Caenorhabditis elegans: one gene and its partner. The protein of the gene in region 2 purifies or fractionates together with the protein of the main gene of each other region. This does not show direct contact. Each region holds a gene or a part of one and is shown on either strand. Other genes may lie near its edges.

Region 1 (3,501 bases), on a different chromosome or scaffold from region 2:
TCTTCCTCCTCCTCATCATCGTCCTCTTCGTCATCGTCAGAATCTTCAGCAGCCGTAGCAATGGCACTCTTAGCAGTTTTCTTTGGTGGTTGTGGCTCCTCATCACTCTCCTCCTCATCTTCTTCGTCTTCACCAGAATCGTCTTCTACTGGTTTTGTTTGTTTTGCAAACGGAGTTCCGGTGGCAAGCTTTTTCTTCGGGACTTCTGGAATATTGAATAATTGCAAATAAATCTAAAATCAGCACTATACCCTCTTCCTCGTCGTCATCTCCATCACTATCATACTGTTTTCTCTTATCGCTAAAACCAACTCGGCTGCCTCCCCCACGAGATTGGAAGTTTCCTCTTCCTCCGCGCGGTGAGAAATCGTTTCCACCGCGTCCACGAGGTGTGAAGCCACCACGACCGCCTCCTCTAGGGGAGAACTTATTGCCACCACGGGACCCTCCAGAGAAATCTCCTCGACCGCGATTAGCTACACCACGATCTCCTCCTCGCCATGGAGAGCCACCACGATCACCTCCACGGAAGTTGCCGCGGTCTCCTCCACGCCATGGAGATCCTCCACGATCTCCACCTCGGAATCCACCACGGTCACCACCTCGGAAGCCTCCACCACGTCCTCTTGGGGAGAATCCACCTTCACGATCACCACGGAATCCTCCTGGTGAGCGACCTCTATCTCCTCCTCGGAATCCGCTTGATGAACGTCCTCTATCGCCTCCACGGAATCCGCCTGGAGAACGTCCTCTATCTCCACCTCGGAATCCACCACCGCCACCACGTGGGGTGAAGCCACTGCCACCACCACGACCACCGCGGAAGCCTCCGCCTCCGCGTCCTCTTGGTGAGTCGAAACCCATTTTGATTGTACCTGAAATAAATAAAATAAAGTTAGGAAGTCCTAATTAGAGTTAAATCAGGAAATAACAGCGACCAAATGTGTTGTAATGATATATTTCGATATTTTATGCATTATAGTAATTTTTAAGCAGAAAATTTCTTCAAAAAACGTAGAAAAGCGATTTATTTCAGTGATAAACATGAAAAAGTACACAAAGAGAATGTTTCTAAATTCGAAATTCATCGATAAGCGGGCGCAGGTCTCGCCACGATCTCTCGAATAAATGCATGCGCCTTTAAACGTTAATTTTCTTGCTGGCGGCAGCCGGCTTGCAACGGCTTTCAACAATTCGACAAATCAATAAAAACTGGATTTTCCGTACATTTCTTTTTGTTTGTTATCAAAACCGTTTGAACTGTCAATTATACACTTTTTAGAATTCGTTTTCATCAATTAGAATGTTTGTTCGTATTTATATTGCGTGATATTCTTTTAAAATTGAACAAAATAGTTTAATATAAATATTTTATTTGCAAAACTCTGTCATTTGCGATACATAGTTCTTTCCTAATTGTTTTAGTAAAAACTTAAGTTTCACGTGCCACCTTATCCACGTTTCTATTTCTACGGTGTATTGCCCCTCGGCGAATTCGAGTTATAACTTTTTTACAAGCTCGTATATTGCAAATCCTCCATTAATCTCTATTTTTTTCTCCTTTTGCATTCGCTTCCGAATTTTTTGTGCCGTTTACTCAACTGCTCTATCTTTGCAGCAGGATGAACATTCGTTGTGCTCGCGTGGACGATTTGATGAGCATGCAAAATGCGAATCTTATGTGCCTTCCAGAGAATTATCAAATGAAATACTACTTCTATCACGCTCTTTCTTGGCCGCAGCTCTCTTATATTGCTGAAGATCACAAGGTATTTTTTATTCTCATGCAAATCTTGACTTGAAACATTTATTGTTGTTCAGGGAAATGTTGTTGGATATGTTCTCGCCAAAATGGAAGAAGACCCAGGAGAGGAGCCACATGGTCATATCACCTCTTTGGCCGTCAAAAGATCTTACAGACGTCTGGGATTGGCTAATAAAATGATGGATCAGACCGCAAGAGCCATGGTCGAAACCTACAACGCTAAATACGTATCGCTTCATGTTCGTGTATCAAACCGAGCCGCATTGAATCTATACAAGAACACACTGAAATTCGAAATTGTGGATACAGAGCCAAAGTAAGTATTAATTTGAATAAATCCTCATTTCTCGGCGCGGATTAGTTCGTCCCTCGATGAACAACTGAAAAAATTCTAATCGACGTTTCCCAATCACCCGTTCGATTTCCAACGTTATACTTTTTACAGAAGTGATGGAATTAAATAATTTTGTATTCTTTTTTGGTTCACCTATTTTTAATTTTTGTTCCAAGTCAAGTTCAAATTGAAAAAGGTTATTGTGATTATCAGTGAAAGGACAAAATGTTTCGAAAAATAATTACGTTTAATAACGTGGCGCTTTTTTAAAACAATAAACAAAAATATGCGAGCGAGGTGATTAAACTTTGGCATCAATCAGAAGAAACATACTTCAATTTGCAAATTATGATAACTTTTAGAACCTTATTAACCCTAATTATTAACAAAAATGACAAATTCCAGATATTACGCGGATGGAGAAGATGCATACGCTATGCGTCGCGATCTCGCAAAATGGGCAGAAGAACGGAACATCGAGCCAGCAGATCGAGAGGCCTATACCACTGCAAAAACCACTGACGATAAAAAGAAAAATCGCAGTTAATTCGTTATCAAAGTTTATTTTTGCCTTTTCCAACTGGTTCATTCTGATACTTTCTCTGTTCTCCCCTTTCAGGAGGATCTCTTTTCTTTCAATTCTCGTTTCCTCCTCTGGTTTTAGATTAGGTAAAAATTTAAGTTTTCCCCTGAATAATCTCTTTGATCCCCCTTTGAAAGCTCATTAATAAATTTAAAGCATTAAAATGGTTTGTAGATGTTATAAGCAGTTGATTTCTGTATTCAAATATCTGTAAATATTTATTTCGACCTTTAAAGTTAATGTTTTAGATGAAAGGTGGCGGTGGAATAGGGGATGGCAAAAAGGACTATCAATCAGCTGTTCATGAAGTAAGTTTTTATTAAAAACTCTGTTATTCCTTTTAATAGTTTTGAGTGATTCAGATGAAATATAGATTTTAAATCTAAATTTTTCAGGGATTAACAACATTCGATCAATTGGGAATTGCACTTGAAGATGTCGGTAAATCAATGGACGCAGAAACAGCTACACCAGGAGGAAGTTTATTTTCCAGAGTTATGTAAGTGATTCGGTTATTCTCGAAAAAAAACTCATTGTTGAAAATGTAGCACTATTTTCTAACATTTCAACAAATAAAATTCTGGCTCACTACCGAGTTCGTATTTTCAACATTGAACAGACACATGGAATTGTTTTCAAAAATCATTCGGTCTCACACATTATGGAGGGAGAAACAGTTTAACCTCAACGCAAATCCGATTTGGTCGAATCGTTTCATCGCCTCTCCCTCTGCTCTCATAAAACAAATAGATTGAGAGTGGTGTTACACGAGTTTTCCATACCAAATGAGATCCTTTTTGACAGGTCGGAGAGAGAATT
Region 2 (3,759 bases):
TTTTTTAATTTTAAATTATCTTACCAGTAACCATTTTTCCGCTAAGCAATACTTCATCAGTTCGCTCTTCCAGTCGTCCAGCATATGAATGGATTTGACCAAGATCTTCAATGGCCATCTCAAGACGATCTCTTTGACGGGATAAATTGCATCCAAAACTACCATAGACGGTGATTGCGAGTTTTGACATGTGATTCAAAAATAACACATATAGACTTTGAGCAGTTTGATCTTTGTAAACAGGAGATCTGAAATAATGAGATAAGTTCGTGATGTATTCTTGTTGAGAAGTACTCACACTCTATCAAGAATTTGTGGGCAGAAGCAGTTGCTCAGTGAGTATTCAACGGCGTCAGCAATTGATCGATTCTCATCACCACACAGATGGTTGTCGACTGGGAACATGCAAATTTGAAGAAGAGATCTGGTGAAGACGCATGCATTCTGACCGAAAGTTCTCGCAAAGTAGAACAAATAGTTCAAATCTTTTGAAGTTTTTGGAGTGACAATGCATAGGTGATATATTCTTTCAGCACACTTCACCCACCAATCAGCAGCTTCTTGTCTTGATGGAACCTTGATTTTTCGAGGGAAGCATGCCGGGATCATTCGTATACAAGTTTTTGGTTCATATGCGCCAAGCCATAGGTAGTCACCATCACCATCAATATTGTCGGGTGCTCTTCTTCCTAATTTAACTGTTTCCGCATAAGCCTTTGTGACCTTGCACAGTCTTTCAGCCAAAATCGAGGCGAATCCAAAATTGGGCTTGAATTGTTTCATATCATCTTCATCTTCGTCGTCGCCTACATTTTCATCATCATTTTGATCAGTTTCATCTGTTGCTTCATCATTACTTTTCTGTTCTTTCTTCTCTGTGGTTTCCGATTTTGCTTCACTTGAAGGCGTTGGATCAGACGTGGATTCTTCTGATTTTTCGTCAGAATTCTCTTCGGCTCCTTCATATTCTTTTTCGTGAACATAGAAATCCCCCAGATGAACTTTGTGATCGAAGTTAGGATCTTCAATTTCTGGTGCAACCAATAAGCCAATAATTTCCAAAAGCATAATAAACATTTCAAGACGGGATGCAACAGCACAGCAAATATCGTACGCCTGTTTACTGAATGCTGACTCTCTCCACTTTCTTCCAGTAGTACCGAGCAATGTAACCTGTTCTCGCATAAGCTGAACGACGACTCTGCGAGGAGCCCATCTCTGATGACTGAAGAGCATTTGTGGATTGAAATCTTCGGGTAACTCTTCTAGGTTACCAACACTGTTGATAAGTGCATGAGCATTTCGAATGAAAAGATTGACGCCGGATGCGAATGGGTGGAAAACGGGATGTTTAACAAAAGTCACATTTGAAAGCAGCACGTTTGTCCAGACTGTCGATCCAAGTGCACTTCCTTCGAGCCAAGCGACAACCATCGCTAACGTACTATCCATAATTGCAAGTTGAAAAGGATAATCGTCGGCGTAGAGTCCCTGAAATTATTGACTTAGTTTCGATAATGAAATTTGACAAAATACCCCACTAATCGCTTCTTTCAATGTTTTAATGTGTTTTGATCCTACTCCAACGTCCATTTTCGGTTCTCCCAGTTCAATTGCTGACATGACATCTGAGAGCCGAAAATGCTCTGTGGTTACCAGTTCGCCCAATCGCAAGCCTTAACGTTTTGAGAAAAATTATAATATCCAACCTATAGAAATTACCATCGCAAAGTTTAAAAAACGTTTTGGAAACGTCTTCGCTTTCGTTTGGAGATTCCATTGCACCAGGCATTGGACCCGTAAAGCTGAATATTAGAAAACTTTGAAGAAATCTGAGAAATGTTAAAAAATTAAGAACAATGTCTGATAATGGGATTTACGGTAAACAACATGCACCTCGTTATTTTGGAGTGTCGTAACAGAGCAAACGCGCTCTATGGACAATTTTAAAAAACATTTATTTTCGAAAGAATTGAAACAATTTTTTGTCTTTTTCTAACTTTTCAGCTCTTTCTGGATTTTTTCTATGATATTTATATTTTTCCCGTTTCAAATTCGAAATAATAGTTTTTTTAAGGTTCAAAATGCCACTCAAGCCCGGTGCAAATCCCTACAAAATTCTCCATCTCGAAAAGGGATGCACAGACAAAGAAATTCAGAAGGCATATCGTGCACAGTGTCTTAAATGGCATCCGGACAAAAATTTGGATAATAAAGAAGAAGCCGAACGTAGATTCATTGAAGCCAAAGAAGCATTCGATTTTTTATATGATAAAGAGAAACGAGTACGTTTTTACTGTCGCTGGTCAATGTAATACTTTATTTTTCAGGAAGAATATGATAATCGAGAAGAGAGAATTCGAATGGCTCAGGAACACCATAGTAAACGAATGGCTGAAGCAGATGGAAAAAGGAAAAAGTTAATTGAAGATTTAGAAAAAAGAGAAAAGGAGTTTTCCAATGGTGGAAAACGGTCAGCAGATGGATCAACTCCAATGACAGCAGCACAACAAGCTAAAAAGAAGAAAACCGATCAAAGAAACTTTAAAGAAGAAATTGAAGCAATTCGGAGGCAGTTGGAGAAAGAAGTCAACGAAGAGGTGAAACAGAAGGCAACATTGATGAAAACAGAAAGGGAAAAGCATCAGAAAAGTCAAGAAAAATTAACTCCTCGATTACTTTTGAAATGGAAAACATCAGAAGGATTAGACTATTCTGAAGACGATATTCGAAAATTATTTTCGACTTTTGGAATCATATCTCACATATCTTCGGCAATAGAGAAAAAAGATCGACGGAAACGAATCCTCGAATTTGAGTCGGGAGCAAATGCATGGGGAGCTGAACTTGAAACTGGGAATGCTCCGATGCCTGAAATTACGTGTGAATGGTTACAACCACCGGTGGAAACTGTGAAGAAAGCTTCGGATGAGCCAGTAAAATCAACTAATACGGGTGCCAACAATTTGGAGCACATGTCTTTGGACGATCTCGAAGCACAAATTATGGGTGGATTCTAATATTTTCATGTTTTTGTTTATTTTTATATAATTATAAAAATAAAACTTAGCTTATTTATATTTATCTTCAAACACTTTTCGATTGGTTTTTCGTGTAAGTTCCAATGTATTTTTCTATTGAACATAAACCTCGGTTTTCCCATTTGCGACTCATTAAACACAAAAGATTGCCGATATTAAGAGACGCAGACGTGAAGAAAGTGTGTCACGACGCTCCACAATCCCTCACCCGACAACCTCATTTCGTTTCGATTTTATCTCGAACTTTATTTCTGAACATTTAGAAGCTTCCACGCTTTCAAATGGCATGTAAATACTAAACGATTTCCAATTAAATTGGTTAATGAATCTGTTTTGAAAATGAAATGCTATGAAGAATTTCAAATGTTTTTTCCCAAAATAAAATTTTTAGATTAAAAAAGTTTATCATAATTTCAGAAGATTCTGACATGCCCTCTTAAAGGCACATGAATTTATTCAGATGGGTTTCTGCGCGCAAAAAAGTTTATGGTAATTTCTTTTCCATAAATCAGACTATTTACCTCATCAAACCCCAAAATATAGTTTTTTTTCAATTTCATTCAATTTACCGTTTATCAACAGATCATAGGTTAAAAATTGCCAATCACCTGTCAGTCCACCCATTCTCGTCCATTTCCCGTCATTATCATTGTTCCATAATCACCCGTTTCCCCCAGTTTTTCTTGTCTTTTCCTATCAACATTTACCATATGTTTAA

The links. The genes of interacting proteins can lie anywhere in the genome.
Region 1: the proteins of natc-1 (region 2) and daf-31 fractionate together in Caenorhabditis elegans (co-fractionation; one large-scale study listed by BioGRID). This does not show direct contact.

What each region holds. Positions count from the first base shown.
Region 1 is NC_003282.8:8,288,655-8,292,155, forward strand, and holds daf-31 (N-alpha-acetyltransferase daf-31), read left to right. Parts: upstream 1-1,618; 5' UTR 1,619-1,622; coding exon 1,623-1,769; intron 1,770-1,821; coding exon 1,822-2,081; intron 2,082-2,504; coding exon 2,505-2,646; 3' UTR 2,647-2,842; downstream 2,843-3,501. Other genes in the region: nucl-1 (Nucleolin homolog 1), read right to left, coding at 1-205, 252-864; K07H8.2 (SLC41A/MgtE integral membrane domain-containing protein), read left to right, coding at 2,931-2,990, 3,078-3,181. UniProt on the Caenorhabditis elegans protein: Catalytic subunit of the N-terminal acetyltransferase A (NatA) complex which displays alpha (N-terminal) acetyltransferase activity. Plays a role in regulating larval development, metabolism and longevity.
Region 2 is NC_003283.11:8,460,433-8,464,191, reverse strand, and holds the start of natc-1 (Protein MAK10 homolog), read right to left. Parts: upstream 1,834-3,759; 5' UTR 1,793-1,833; coding exon 1,723-1,792; intron 1,677-1,722; coding exon 1,537-1,676; intron 1,492-1,536; coding exon 299-1,491; intron 249-298; coding exon 25-248; intron 1-24. Other genes in the region: dnj-22 (J domain-containing protein), read left to right, coding at 2,085-2,285, 2,331-3,020.